Linked DNA regions of Rattus norvegicus. The protein of the gene in region 2 purifies or fractionates together with the protein of the main gene of each other region. This does not show direct contact. Links are inferred from orthologs where the notes say so. Each region holds a gene or a part of one and is shown on either strand. Other genes may lie near its edges.

What was found. Proteins that work in one complex are often made in the same cells at the same time.
Region 1: the proteins of Eno1 (region 2) and Fbxw7 purify together in Homo sapiens (affinity purification with western blotting; 3 studies listed by BioGRID, with this or other methods). This does not show direct contact. The link is inferred for Rattus norvegicus from reciprocal best matches to the Homo sapiens genes ENO1 and FBXW7.

What each region holds. Positions count from the first base shown.
Region 1 is NC_086020.1:172,444,366-172,452,641, forward strand, and holds the start of Fbxw7 (F-box/WD repeat-containing protein 7), read left to right. Parts: upstream 1-3,372; 5' UTR 3,373-4,526; exon of another isoform or gene 4,527-4,560; intron 4,561-8,276. UniProt on the Homo sapiens protein: Substrate recognition component of a SCF (SKP1-CUL1-F-box protein) E3 ubiquitin-protein ligase complex which mediates the ubiquitination and subsequent proteasomal degradation of target proteins.
Region 2 is NC_086023.1:166,004,263-166,011,820, reverse strand, and holds part of Eno1 (alpha-enolase), read right to left. Parts: intron 7,101-7,558; exon of another isoform or gene 7,049-7,100; intron 6,393-7,048; 5' UTR 6,384-6,392; coding exon 6,299-6,383; intron 4,548-6,298; coding exon 4,452-4,547; intron 3,757-4,451; coding exon of another isoform or gene 3,698-3,756; intron 3,410-3,697; coding exon 3,351-3,409; intron 1,689-3,350; coding exon 1,619-1,688; intron 1,452-1,618; coding exon 1,318-1,451; intron 848-1,317; coding exon 625-847; intron 1-624. UniProt on the Homo sapiens protein: Glycolytic enzyme the catalyzes the conversion of 2-phosphoglycerate to phosphoenolpyruvate. In addition to glycolysis, involved in various processes such as growth control, hypoxia tolerance and allergic responses.

The DNA.
Region 1 (8,276 bases), on a different chromosome or scaffold from region 2:
GACGGAACAATTACTAGATTCTCGGACCTTTCTTTGGTAGTCAGCCTTTGTTGGACTAGCTGGGCCATAGCCTATAAGCTGTTCTAATGAATCCCTTTTCTGGAAGTTCTGTTCCTGTAGAAAGAACCCTAATACAATAGTAGATATACAAAAGATCCTCAACAGAGTCAATAACTGGGGAAATGTAAGTTAAAATTGAATTGAGTTATGCTCTACACTCAGCAGGATGGGAAGATGGAGTTTTTGCCTTCGGTCGTGAGGTGTGGAGCAATGGCATTCCTCTAACTAATGTGACCCTATCATGTTAGACGACCGACCACAAAGCATGATTTATTCATGTTTATGACATACACTCTCAAGTACAGACTACACAGAAATTTATATAGATGGGATGGAGTAGAGACTTACGGAATATTTGCAACAGCATTTATAGTAGCCTGGAACTGAACCCAGACTCCTATCAAGAACAAAATGGCTAAACAAACTGTTATATATTGCTACAATGGAATACTGAATATTCAGGAATTAAAGGGAACAAATTTACAGCTATATGAACCTGAACAACATATGGGTTACATCAAGGTTGAGCAAATATGGTTAGCAGAACAGATTATACATATTATCTCCTTTACAGAACACTCACAAGAAAGGGAAAAATTAAACAACCTAATGCTTAGGGATGAACACCTGTGATAAAACAATAAAGAAAAGCAAGGAAACAATTGCCACAAATGTCAGAATAATGCTTACTCTCCCAGAAGGGAGAGCTGTGTTTAGGAAGGTCATTACAGGCTTTGGAGGCTTAGCAAACTCCACTTATTGGCCTGTTTGACTGCTTACATGGTAGTTTCTTTGATAATTACCCACAGCACACAATTGTCTTATGTTTTGAGTCTATTTCACAATGATGCTTAAAATTGGATGATGTGCTACGGTGCGTTTTTAGAAATTTTGCCGGTTAATCTGTTATATAGTGTTTAACAGTAGAAACCACTGATGTGGGATAATAAAACATTGAGTAGTTTCTTATACAAGCTCACTTTCAAGGGAAGAGTTATGAACCTTACACAGAGATCTCCTTGTCCCACTTTAACATAGTATATAGATGTTTATGACAAACTCGTAAGTCAGGAAAGAACCTGGTTAGTTGAAATACATTTTTCTGATTTACTTTTTGGAAATCTGATTTAGCGGCTATATTTCTCCTCTAGATTATCAGACAATATGAGGAACTAAAAGGATATACAACAAATTGGAGATGTATGAATTCCTTCCTCTCCAGCAGCCAGTTGTAGACAGCTGTTTACTCCTGTTACCAGGCTGGGCAAGGAGGAGAATGGACTTTCAGTGAGCGTTAGTGCAGCTACTATTCCTGAGGAGGTTGCTCAGGGCTCCTGTGAGTCTCATTCTGACCCTCACTGATGAGGTTCTAAATTGGAGCCACTGACAATGAGGCAGATCCGACTCTGACACTCCCCATGGTGCACTTCTCCGGAAGCATCCTTGGTTGTGGAGCTCTGATGTTTGTACTCTTTCCACTCAAAGTCCACAAACTTTAACTCTGAGGAGCTCAGCTTCCCCAAACTCCTCTGCACCTGTATTTTATTTAATTTCTGCTGTAAGGAGGAGAGTTCAACAAAAGGATTATGTTGCAGCTATGTTGGGCTATTGTTGAATTGATCTGATTCCCTGTGAATCTTACTGGAATACAGCCTGCGAATGGATCATGTTTGTAGACACTTAAATCCAGGGTAATTAGGGCAAGTTGTTTGACGCCTGGGATTTCAGGTAGAGTACAGAGGGTCTGGTGCAACTTGCCTCTTCTTGCTTTTGTGGCCTCCTCCTCTCTCCTTTACTCACTTTTTTTTTTTTTTTTTGGCTTTTGTCATCTCTGAACAAAAAAATGAACCCTTGATTTATCAACATAGACATTTTCTTGATCTATGTTGCATGAGGTGGTACAGCAGTGGCATAAACCTAGGCTTGCTTCTTAAATGTGTGCAGAGTGTGTTTGGCCCAATCTCCCATCACTGTTGCTTCCAGAGGGACGGGGTGCAGGCAGGTCCAGCCACACAACGGTTTCCCTTCATCTTAGCTGCTGCTTTAATCTCACTGTCAGACCGCTAAGAAGGGTAGGTTCAAGACAGATTTCTGAACACTGTGGTTCTTTATCTCGAAAATTCTTTTACTAGAGGACCATAGCTTAAATTTCATGAGTTTTTTCTTAAACTTATTTCCCAGACCAGAATCTGTAAGACAAACGGCTTAATAGATTTATTAATAACATACCTCTACCCCCCCACCCCCGGCCGCTAACACACACAGTGGGAGAGGGAGGGAGGAAGGGAGAGAGGAGAGGTATTGAGACTTGAGAGTCGCCAAAATGTTTTGAAGACGGTAAGGGGCACTCTGATGAACAAAATCAGCTCTCTAAAAAGTTCCCCCAAATCTAAACGACAAACAAGAATGACTCTTAAAAGGGAGGCTGTTTTCCAACCCTAGTAATTTCGCCTCCTTTCCCACAAAAGCCTGAAGTTGCGACTCTCAACAAACAGCCTCTCATCTCTTTCCTTTCATTGCATGTGGCGGGTGGGGGTGAGGAGGGAGATGTATTACAACTCTCACGTTTCTACACTTCAATTTACAAAACGCTTGCGCTTCCACCATCACCTCGGAGTTCCGCTAAGGCTGTGCTAGAGGCAGGCTTGTATACACTTATACACACACACACACACACACACACACACACACACACACTCACTCACTCACTCACTCACTCACTCACTACACAGAATGCAGCGCCAGGTTTCACCCCACGCCACGGGAAGGGTGGGGTGGCTCGCTCCGGGGAGCAGGTGCAACCTCTGGGCTGTAGGTTAACTTTTCCACCCGTCTCTCTGTTTGAAGATCTGCTCCGGACCAAATGCCTCACCTTCGGGTGGTGCGCGCCCTAGCCCGGTCCCTGGCCTCCTCCTCACTCCCAGAGGAGCAGTTCGCACCTGCCCCGGAGGGAACGGCTACGGAGCTCTCTCTCCGCGCCCTAGGGTCAGGGGTAAGATTAGGCGGTAGCTTAGGCTCGCCTGGGCTCCTCCCCTTCCTCTCTTCAGTTCTGACGCGGCCGTAGAGGCGGCGGCGGAGGCAGCGGCGGCGGTAGCAGCAGCAGTCCCGCGGCCCGAGGCGCACCCACCCGCTCCCAGATCTCGACTTCCTTTTCCCTTTGTGCGTCATCAGAACGCGCCACAGCCTCCCAGGGCGGGGTGGCTGGAGATGGGGAGAAAAGGCCAGCAAAGGAAGGCGCAGAGTGGAAGGGGAAGGGAGGGAGAGGAGAGCGGTTGCTAGGCGACTTACGTCATCGCTGGGCGCCGCTCTCCTCCCGCCCCTCTCTGGAGTGAGGCGAGAGCCCCGCACAGAGCGAGAGAGACAGCGAGCTGAGCTTCGGGCGCTGCCGCCGCCGCCGGTGAGAGCGAGTGAGTGAGCGAGCGAGCATCCGAGAGACCCGGCACCCGTGCACTGGCCGCCGCCGAGACCTTCGCCGCAGCCCGGGCCATCGGGAGCCGTGGCCGCCGTCTGCTCCCCCCCTTACCTTCCCGGCCGGCAGCGGCTGCTGCACACGCCGAAGCGGGAGCCCCAGCCAGAGCCGGAGCCAGAGCCGGAGCCGGAGCCCGCGGCCGGGGGGCAGGGAGGCGGCTGCCGCCGGTCGGGACTCGTAGCTGCTCAGCCGGGAGAGGACGCCCGCGAGGGGCTGGGCTTTCTGCCTCGCCCCGGAGTGTGGGGCGAAGGACCCCCCGAGGTGTAGGGAGGGGGTCCCGGCCGCCGCGACACATGCGGGAGCCGGGAGCGGGGGCGGCGCCGATCCGAGCCCGCCGGGTCCCCAGCCTTGCCGCCGTCCAGACCGGCCGACCCGGGCCGTAGCATCCCATAGCGGAGTGTATGAACCGGGGCCCCCAGCCCAGGAGCCACCTCCGGGCCGGGGGGGCGGGGACCCCGATGTGAAACGGCCGCGGCGGCGTGGTGAGCGGCCCGGGCGCCGCTGTCCTCTCCTTCCCCTCCCCTCCCCTTCACCCCCTCTGGGGGGCTTCTCCTTGGGCCCGCCGCCGCACCCCGGCTCCTCGGCGGGACTCCAGGAGTTCTCGGCGCCCCCTCCCCGCCCCAGCCCCCCAGGGCGGCGGGGCCGGGGGGGACTCGGGGGGCCGGCTGCAGCCTCCGCCCAGAGGAAACTTTACCCAAACAAAATCTTCGAGCTTTCTGATTGTGACTGTCCCGGGACAAGTGGCCCAGGACGGGCTGAAGCCACAGCCTGCAGAGACCCAGGAAGAGAAAAAGCGGTGAGCGGGGCTGCTGCCGCTGCCGCCGCCGCCGCCTCAGCTTCTATCCCGGCAGCGCGGAAGAGACCCGGGTAGCTGCTCCGTGGAGCGACGCTAGCACCGCTTCTTAGTTCCGCGCCTAGCCTTCCGCAGCTGCCCGCCTCAGCCCGAAGGAGGAAGGGAGCCAGCCACATTGTCAGCGCCACCGCTCGTCTCTGAAGCGTGAGTGGACCCGAAGGAGGGGGGACATTATAAGGTGACAAGTGGGAGCGGGTGGGTGCTTTGATGGTGGAGTTGGGCTGTTTCTCGGGAGGGTTGGCAGTGGAGACCTTTCCTTTCTAATTTCGGGAGAAAGCGTCAGTTTGCAGGAGTAATGCAAGTACTCGGGCGTTTTTCTTAGAGGAGCTGTGTGGACAGCTCTGTCCTCTACCTTTTTCTGGCAACCTGATTCTGGCAGTGGTTTTTGTTTCAGGGAAACTCCCATGGATTCCCACGTGGGAATCACTTGAATCAACTCTTATTTTATTTTATTTTTTTTCCTTTCCTAACTATTGTTTTTGAAGTTGCCCTGGTCAGGAAGACCAATTTTGATTTTAGTGCAAAGAGGGGTTTGGTGCCCCCAGCGCTTTATTTCATAAGTCCACAGACTCCAATGTGTAGAGTCCTTGTTTGCATGTTTCATTTGGCTCAGGAGAATCCGAGTTCCTAGGATGCACAACTCGCTGAAACTTATTTCAGGGAGAGCACTTGCAACTTCTCTCTCTCTCTCTCTTTCTCTCTCTCTCTCTCTCTCTCTCTCTCTCTCTCTCTCTCGTCATCTATTTTAAGTGATAACACATTTCTACTAGGGACTGAAAGGACATGCATGCTGCTTTTCTTATTTGGCTCTACTTGTCAACATAGAAACTTGTACTCTTTTAAGAAAGCACTTAGCACACTGAGTGCTAAATTAGAGGTACAGAAAAGTAATGTTTCAACTATGTAAGGTTAAACTAAACATCTTAAGGCAAGTACTGTGGGATTTTGTGTAACAAGGAACATAGGCAGTGTAAGACTGAGAACGCCGGTCCACCCAGACAACTAAATTTGGGCAGAATAGAGATCCTCCGTAGAAATGAATGGAAACCTGGGAGTATCCATTTATCTATCCACCCATTCTAATCTCTCCATTTAGGATCTTGATTAAATTTCTTTGAAAGTTTCTCACACTTCACAATGTTCTCCCCTCCTCTTCTTAAAGTAAGGAACCTTCAAGTTTATTATTCTGCACTATGTAACAATTTACTTCTCTTTGTCCTGCCTTCTCAATCTTTCAGGATACAGTTTCTTTGAGGAATGCTAAAACACTGTGAGCTAATCTTACATTTCTTATAGACTTTGTTTGATTTCTCCTATCATCTGTTCCAACTTTTTTTTTTTTTTTTTTTTTTTTTTTAGTTTACAGGTTTCAGGTTGTTTATTTCAGTGGAAGTTGAATAAATATATTCAGTGGTCACAGTATTGTCATCCTATCCTCTGACACAGATATATTATCTTGATCTAAAACAAAATTAATTTTTGCACATAACCAGAGGCCCATATTCCACCATGGTCTTTAATAATCAATGAACCTAACTGTGGCCCTTTGTTCCAACTTTTTTTAAAAGACAGTTTTACTATGTTACCTTGACTGTCCTGGAATTATCTCTGTAGACCAGGCTGGCCTAGTATTCACAGAGATGTACCTGCTTCTGCCTTCTAAGTGCTGGCTGGAATTAAAAGGTGTGTGTCCTGACTGCCAGCCATGTTGAAACTTTTGTGGCCCCCCAAACCCCATTTCTTTGGCTATCTTTCCCCTCTTTCTGGGTCTTCTAGCTCTTTATGTTTTGTTAGATACTTTGTTCTTCTTATGCTTTTACAAGACACCTTACATTCTACTTAAGTGGCATGAAAATATTGAATGGTAAATTTCTTTAGATTTAGAATAAAACACATTTTTTGATTTGCTAACCTTACTTTGTTACCCTGAGAAAGTCATGTATTCCAGCTTTGAAAAAGATGATACTTGAGAAACTTAGACTTGCATAGTTTGCTTCTTGGAAAGAAGGAGAGAATAAACCAAGAAGTGGTACTTTGAGTTTGTATTGCATCTGGTCAAAGTTGCTTACCAACTGGAGGACCTGCTTTGTGGGAAAACTGGTTTTAAATTGTGGAAATACTTTACTGTAATAAGAAATAAGTAATAAGAAAACATTTGCTACTTTCAGTCTTTGAGGGTGCCTTTTCTTACCAATACCAGAGGCAATCAATATAAATTGTACAAAACTTTAGGAAAGATTGGGCTGGTGTGATAGCTCCGTGGGTAAAGCTGCTTGCTGCATAAGTCTAAGGACATGTAGTCCAGCGGTGGAAGGAGAAAACTTAACTGTACAGAGTTGTCCTCTGACCTGTGCTGTGTGCATGAACATGTAGTAGTAGTAGTAGTAGTAGTAGTAGTAGTAGTAGTAGTAGTAGTAGTGTGGCAGTAGTAGTAAAAATAAATACATTTCTTAAAAATGTCAGAAAGGGGGACATGTGTCGCCATTATTACTCTTAAGATTACTATATGTCAGGGAATGCCATTGCACATTTTTATTAGGGAAATACTGATTTTGGATGACCCAGGAATAATTGGAGTGTCTGAGCCAAATCGTGGAAAGGCTCTTTTAGGAAGAAAAGAGCGTACACAAACAAAACTAAAGACTTAGAGTCAGAGTATGTAAAAGGGGAGATCTAATTGGGAAGCTAGTTTGAAAGGAATACCTACTGAGTGGGGAGGTTCTTGACTAGGGTTAAGGCCAGTTTGTGCTGTTTAAAAGAATTTGAAAACTGTTCCAAAGAAGGTAGTTTCGATTGTGAGAAATCATATTTTAGGACAGACATTATACTGGCTTTAGGATTTTGTTTCATTAGGAGATTAACATTTTTACACTATGGTCATCTAGGGGGCAGCACAGGAGACATGAAAAAGGCAATTTGAATGCTTTTTAGCATGGTGCTAGTAGTTGCTCATGAGCAAATCAGAAACAAGGTAGCAGACTGCTTTGGATGTTGAATTTTGGGTTAAGAGCTGGGTATCCATATAGTTCCCGTGTTAGCTCATTGTTTCTTCTCTCTCTTTAAAACTCTTTTTTCCCTTTCTTTCTCCTCTTTTGACTCTTTCTCTTGTGCCAGGCTGACCTTGAACTTGCTGTGTACTTTTTACTTGTAATCGCCCTGTCTGGACTTCCTGAATGCTAAATGGACTGGTGTGTGCTGCCCGCCATTTCTTGTTTTGTAGTGCTGGGGATAGAACCTCGGGCTTTGTGCATGCTAGGCAGGTACTTTACCAACTGAGCTACATCCTCAGGACCCACCCCACGTAGCTTTCAAGACTGCCAAGTAGTTTGGGTAATATGCTGACAGTGCAGGTGGATGGGAGTCATTTTTAAGCTTTTAGGTTTCTGAGATTCCTGATACGAAGTTAAGAGCTGAAAATGAGTTTTAAATGCTGGGGACTGGAGCAGAGTTATGTCGGTGTAAGCACTGGTGTCAGTCAAAAGGGGAGAGACTTCCCAGAAGATGTGCTTGGGGAGTGAGTGGGAATGGCAGTTGAAAAGAGGAGCAGCCTCTTAACAGAGCGGCCACTCAGTAGCTCCCAGGGCGTGGAGCTCTGGTTTAGAAGTTGTTACAGGTTTTCAGTAGCACATTTAGATCCCGAGACAGATAAATTCAGAAAACACAAGACCTTGTTAGGGAACTTATATTGTTTTTTACAATTTCCTTGCATTATAATAATCTTAGTCTTCATTATACTAATGAAGTGGGGCTAAAAATTGATGAAAGGGAAGGCTGTTTCTCTTACTTCAGAGATGTGCATCTTTGTGTTCCTACAATGGGGGGGGGGCATCCCTGTGTTGGCACAGAAGTGTTAGGGATGCTTTTTTTGCTATAAACTTAAAATTAAAAACAATT
Region 2 (7,558 bases):
CCTGTCCTGAGGACAGAGGCGGGGCCCCGAAAGGGAAGCCTCACAAGAGCCACCTCAAGTCAAGCTGCAAGAGTATTAGAGTAGGGCTGGAGAGATGGCTCAGAGGTAAAGAGCCCCGACTGCTCTTCCAGAGTTCCTGAGTTCAATTCCCAGCAACCACATGGTGGCTCACAACCATCTGTAAAGAGATCCAATACCCTCTTCTGGTCTGAAGACAGCTACAGTGTACTTATATAATAAATGAATAAAAAAAGAGTATTAGAGTAGACATACACCTTCTGCTACCTGCCAGACCCCAGAGCTGGGTGTGCATTCTATACAGGTCTGAGGTCACAGAGTGCCTGTAAGATGGCTGATGGAGGTTTGAGTCCCCAGGCCACAGTGGATGGATGGCCATGCTGATGGCAGGCGCACCCACATACACAAAATTAGAATCCAGGTCAATTACCAGCACACGGTGGCTTACTTATGAACTCTAGCTCTAGGTGATCTAGGACCTGCCTCCAGCTACCCAATAATATAGCAAAGACACAAACAACAAACAAACAAAAAAAACCCAAAACCCCCAAAGCTCTTAAGCGGCAGGTCGAGTGGACAGCACAACATAGTTCCCAACGTCTCTACCTTCTTTGTTCTCCAGGATGTTAGGTGCGAATCCACCCTCATCACCCACATTGGTGGCGTCTTTCCCGTACTTCTCCTTGATGACGTTCTTCAGGTTGTGGTAAACCTCTGCTCCAATGCGCATGGCTTCCCGGAAAGAGGATGCCCCCACAGGCAGGATCATGAACTCTTGCATGGCCAACTTGTTGCCAGCATGAGAACCGCCGTTGATCACATTGAAAGCCTAGGAGGACAGGAGTGATGTCACCCACCCAGGGAGGACAAGGGAGACCCACCACAGGGCATGAAGCCCCTGAACTCCATAGCTGCCAGTTGGTCCCTATGAACGCGGTCTCCAAATGCTCACTAGGACTCTTCTAAGAATTATCCCCTTATTGTGCTGGGCATCAACACACACAATAAGCAGGAGGGTCCTTGTGGGTACCTATGGCCGCACTCTCAGCCCCGCCATGGTTAGTGCTAACTGTGACCCTCCCAAACGCTGATGGAAGGAAGGTGCAGTCCTGCCAGCTTCCTGTCTGCCCTGACTGTAACCTAAGGCTTCACTGCTGCCCTGACTTCTCTAATACGAAGGGTTGTAGTCGGGAACGGTAATAAACCAAACACTTCCTTTCCCCAGCTGCTTTTTCTTGGGATATTTTACTGTAGCAACAGAAAGGAAAACAAGACAGACTTAGTGTCAAAGTCACTCACTGGGACCGGCAGGATGACTTCAGGGTTGCCGGCCAAGTCGGCAATGTGACGGTAAAGGGGCACCCCCTTCTCCACGGCACCAGCCTTGCAGACAGCCAGGGACACTCCCAGGATGGCATTTGCACCAAACTTAGCTGGAATAGAATGAAAATGGTGAGCAGGGGCCATTTCTTAGCCTGTTTCCCACTGGGCTGCATAAATGGCCCACCCGCCCTCCTGGAGATTCGCGTGTTGAATCCACAAGTGGCTGATTACGAATCTCCAACCGACCACTGAGGAACAGCTCCCCCTGTGCACTCACATTTATTCTCTGTGCCGTCCATCTCGATCATCAGCTGGTCAATCTTCTCCTGCTCCACAACATTCAGTTTCTGGAGAGACAGGAAGTGAGGGCTCAGCTACCACTTGACCCCACTCTCCCACCAAGCAGCTCTTCAGAACCCTGGGAACCCTGGGAATTATGTGCACTAAGTCTGTGGCCATGGGGCTGGGAGTAGAGCTCAGCAATGGAGCTTCTCAACGTTTGCCAAAGACTGGCTCGACACCCTGAAGGGGTAGAGCAGAGAGAAAACAAAACCTCGCTTCACTCGCTCTATTCAACAGCTCCAGGCATTTCCTGTTCAAAGACTACAGTCTACCTAGGCTACACACAAGGGTGTTCTTGGATAAAAATTAATAAAGTTCATTGTTCATTCAAGCAGGCAGAGGTCTGCAGAGGCTACCACCTCTAAAGCTCTTGGCCAAGACAAGGACAGAACACCATTGTTTGGTGAGAACACAGGTTGTCCAGGATCACCTTACCAAATACTTGATTGGTAAACATGGCTATTTTGGGGAGTGTTATATGAAGCAATAAACTGTTTCAATCAAACAGCGCATGTGGGTGCTGGAGATGGCTCAGCTGTTAGAACACTTGTTGCTAATGCAAATGATCTTATGCTCTTTCCTGGCTACCCCAGACATGCACATGGTCCATACTACACATGCAAGTACATCACTGTATATTCATTCACAGACACTATGTAAAATACACATCCCTGCGGTGCTGTGCGTGTGAGTGGTCAGCCCTTGCTGTTGTTTGACAAGGCATTGTTGAAGGCAAACATTTGCCCAAGCAGAAAGTTCCCAGAGGCTAAACCTCCCAAGAGTGTTCAATTCAAGGAGGGCCTAGGGATGACGGGACAGTGGGCGCACAAGGAGGCGCCCAGGAGACTGGAGCCGGCAGTTGTAATGAGCAACTGTCTGGGGACCAGACAAAGAACCAATCAGTGTTTGTTACAGGCTCGCTGGGGACAAAATGGATGATACAGGGCCAATCTGTGATTCAAGAGGGAGGAACTAAATGTTAGCAAACAGAGATGATGATGGCCGGTGGTCCCTCTGAGAAGCGACTGGGATAGGACCACAAAGGCAGCACACACACTGTCCAGGGACAAGCTGTGGCCCATGTCCCTCACACTGACCAGGTACAGTGCCTTATGCCTGGAGCCACAATCTCAGCTGGCTGTGAGCCACCTCACACTGGTGCTGGGACCAACCTCAGCTCCTGAAGGGCAAGCGCTGCTCTACTGAGCTTCCCTTCCAGCCTCAAATGAGGATGTTTTAAAGTGGGGAAAGGGTTGAATTCAGGGCTTAGCACTCAGTATGTACACATCAAAAAAGATGGAGGCTGGGGTGGAGTTCTATCTCCTTATACTAGAATTGCAGGCACCTGCTTCCACCTACATCCCCAGTCCCACCCAGTCTGTAACAAAGCCATCCAACAGAGCAATAAATTCCAAAGTCCCACTACTGCCTTGAACAAAGTCCCATGACACACAAAGGTCAGGAGAGCATATGGAAACATGTCAAGCACTCCCCACCCTGCCCCAGATTCAGGCGCTTTCAGAAGCAATGGCACACACTGGCAGCAGGCAGGTTAGACTCATGCCAGCTTCCAAAGCTCTCAGAATAAGCAATTCTTGTGAAGAGGAGAGGCCTGGCCCTTGCTCTGGTGGCATGGATACACAGTAGTTACAGGGGATGGGTCCTACCTTGCTAACCAGAGCAGGTGCAATAGTTTTATTGATGTGCTCAACAGCCTTTGAGACACCTAGAAGAACAATCATGAAATTACTTACACAATTACAGTACACAGGCTTGAGCAGCCTCGCTGGAGCACCGGAGTCCTGGGCCCAGAAGCCCGAAGAGCCTCCACAGGATCTTGTTAAACCCCCATCCCCCAGAATGGGGCTTTCTGTCCCAGTCTGAGTCCTCTTCCCTAGCACCCCAGGGGGTTAAAGCCACACCAAGAGCCATGACCAGAGTGCTGGGGGGGGGTATTAGTTCAAGACCATGCACTGGGAAACCCAGCTGCACACCAGGATGCCCAGCGTGTTACCTGAGTGCACAAGGCTGGTGCCAGGAACTCATTAACATATTTAACAGGTCTGGAGACGCCTACCCATTAGAGGTGAATAGAGAAGGAAAAAGACTCAGGAGAGAAAGGATTCAGAGGACACAGAGGAAAGAAAGTGAAGGAAGGAGGCAGGGGTGCTTCAGTAGTCAGGCTTCTAATGCTGGCTGGCTCTAATGCTGGCTGGCTCCTTAGCCCTGAGACCCCCTGACACAACCTCTCTTTGGAGATTTCAATTCCCGCTCTCACCACTATTGGTTACAGTAATGGACTTTCCCTAGAAAGACCAGACTGGAGGTTGGGGATTTAGCTTAGTGGTAGAGCGCTTGCCTAGGAAGCGCAAGGCCCTGGGTTCGGTCCCCACCTCCGAAAAAAAGAACCAAAAAAAAAAAAAAAAAAAAGAAAAAAAGAAAGGCCAGACTCTGCAGGGGGGTGTTATCAGAGAAAAGGGCAGGGCCCAACTCTGCAGCACCTGGGGGGGGGAGCAGACTCCACTTACATAACAAAGGTCAGAGCCACACCAATCTTAAAGATCTGAAGGCCAGAGATCTGGGAGCTTGTTTGATCAGGCTGATCCTGTCAACTGGACACCAGTGACGGCATCAGTCCCTTGTGGGAGGAAGGCGAGGGTAAGCTGCCCTGCTGCTTTCCTGATGGCAGTGCTCAGCAGTGCTGTGGGTGAATGCCTGGGAGGGGAAGAGGTTGGTGCGTGCAGATGAGACTAAGTTCCTATCCTTACCCTTCCCCATGAAGCGGGTCTTATCATTGTCTCGGAGTTCTAGGGCCTCGTAGATGCCAGTGGACGCACCGCTGGGCACCGCAGCACGGAAGAGACCTGGGAACAGTGGGGGGAAAGAAATTCAACATTGGGCAGTCCCAATACACAGGAGGATCCGTGTCTGAAGCCAACTGGGACCAAAGAAATTCTTGTACCTCCAAGTCCCCAGTTAGTAAATCCTCACTCAGAAACACGACAGCCTTCTCACCCGCCTGAGTCTTCCACACCACTCTTTATACAGAGTGAACACAACTTCCTGAGTGAGGGACATGCAAGGTAGCACTGTCTGTGCCCACCCTGACTTCCTGCATATCCAGATGGTCCTGGCCTAGGTGAGGCAAGGCTTGTCAGTGGCCACAGACACATAGATTCACAGTGCAAAAGCTGGGTACACGGACTAGGGTGACACATAATCCCCAGGCCTGGGTTCTTATGTGGGTCCTGGGGGTTGGACGCTGAGCCTCATGTCTGCACAGCAGGCATTTTCCTAACTGAATCACCTCCCCAAATATCTTGGTCCACAGTTCCAATCTCAGCACCTAAGACTGAGGACTTGACTTCAGTGTAGGCTACATACACAGGAAATCTTATGGCAAGATAAACTAATTATCGTAAAAAGCGCTTTTCATTGGCAGGCGAAAGCATAAAGATTCTAAAGAGCTACAGTTAAGACACCCGTCTTGTTTGACTGTTTAAATGTCAATTTAGGGGGTTGGGGATTTGGCTCAGTGGTAGAGCGCTTGCCTAGGAAGTGCCAGGTCCTGGTTTGGTCCCCAGCCCCAGAAAAAAAAAAGAAAAGAAAAAAAAAGTCAATTTAGGGGTAAAGCTGCACCAGCAGGTGGAGCCATCTCCTGCTATCAGACACCTTGTCATGCACGATGTCACCAGCAGGTGGAGCCAAACCCTGCTATCTGACACCTGATGCTACCTAGCATTCCTGGTATTCACCAGGAAACATTGCCAGAACACAGCTGAGAACCCCTGGCAAAGACAATGGCGGCCAACAAGCAGGCACATGCTGGTGATTTGAGGATCCCTCATTTCCTGGGACAACGGGTAGGTAGGGCTGGGCTCTGGTGCTTGAATTCTGAGTCACACAATGACTCAGCCCAGACTGGTGAGCTTGTGAGCTCTGTAAGACGTTGCTACATCTTCCCCAGGCCTCTTTCCTATGGCACCCACTACATGCATCTCTACATCTAGATGCTGGAATCAGCAGGGGTGGGCTTTTTTTTTGTTTTGTCTCTGAGTAGTAGAAACAGGGCCTTGCTATGTAGCCCAGGCTAGTCTCAAAACTGGCAATCCTCCCTCCTGAGCAGGCCCAAGTGCTGAGATTTATGGTAGTCGCTGCCACACCCAGCCAATCTCTCCTTGCAATGCTGTGATTTAAATTTAGGACTTCCCACATATTAAGCAAATGCTCTGCCAAACTATATCCCCACTCCCTTATAACACACGAGTTCCTCACCATGGGTAGCTTGGCCTAGAGGAAAAAGCAGAGCTTCCGGGCTGTCTCCTTCCTTTCATGTGGGGAGAGAAGGCTTCCCCCTCCATTGGCTGATCCGATCAGGAGGCCAGGCTTCTTCAGGAGCCAGGGCTTAAGCCCTCCCTTACTTCCCTGCCCCGGTGACCTACCCAACCCACATCCTGTCTTAAATACCAAGAAGCAAAGCCAGACATGGTGGCAGATGGCTCAGTGGGTGGAAGGCTCAGAGGGATCAGAGTAGATCAGACTCTGCCTTGCTTCCCCATCACATTATCAATAAACTGTGGTGCAAGAGACCAGGAAATAATGTGGGTTCGTGTACCTTTTGCGGTGTAGAGATCCACCTCAACGGTGGGATTCCCGCGGGAGTCAAAGATCTCTCTGGCATGGATCTTGAGAATGGACATGGTGAAGTTCTGTAGGGGGAAAATAGTTCATATATTACCCATAAACTCTAATATAGAAGGTTTATTTATCCCAAGAGATCACCCCCAAGATCCTGGACCTGGACAGAGAACAAGTGGGCTACGTACAGAAGTCACTTATAGCCCTCTGAAGCTAAGTGTTCTGTGGGCAATTAGGTAAATACAAACTGGACAGAACTATGTTCTGGCTGCGCAGCGAAGTGGGAAGTAACAGAGAAGGCAGGTCAGCGATTAAACAGACCTGTAGACCGGAGGGAAATGCAACATTGTGAAGCAGGGTGATTGTGGAAACAGAAACCCCAATTCATCAAGTTGTACCCATGGCAAGGGCAGAACATTCAGCAGACACAGATTTGATAACCAGTAAGAAATTGTGAGAGGAAGGCAGAATCCCAAACTCCTTGGCTGGTGGTCATCAGTACTGCCATTCTCTAGCCCGGTGGCACATGCAGGCTAGATGCCTAACACGTGGGCGGTCCTGGGTTCAATGGCCGCCATATTTAGGCAAGAGTTGACTTCTATTTCAAAGGGAGACCTTGTCTCGCCTTTAAAAGGTACCCAAAGTAGATGTCTAATTAGAAAACACCCCAGAGAAAGAGGATATTGAGCAACAAACAGCAAGTCTAAAAAGAAGGTCCCTTTCTTACTTCTTCCCCAGCAGGCTTTCCAAGAAAGGAATCTACCAAACGGCTTCTAGAACTAAATTGGATGAGACATTAAGACAATTAGCATTCGGAAGCTGTTATCTAAATAGGTTCCCTACACCTTTTCTGGTGAGGTCAAGGAAGCAAAGGCATACTTTTTGTTTCAATATAAGTTACTTCTGTGCTTGTCTTCTCTAAGACAAAGGACCTTTATTCACTAACCAGGAATAAAGTACCCACTTTTTATCCACTGTTATAAAATCTCACACCTGCACTTCCTATGTAGGCCAAGCTGACCCGAACTCGGTTATCCCCATCTTCAGCATCCCTAAGCGCTAGATTTTCAAGTGTGCATCACCAGGCCTGGTTCCTTTATGGGGGCGCGGGAGCCACGTGCCACCGCGGCGCTCTGCAGAGGCTTTATAACCTGTAGGAGTTGGTCCCCCCTTCCACCATTTGCATCTAGCTTGGATCTTTAAGCTAGGCAGCAAAGGTCTCTAATCAAAGAAAACC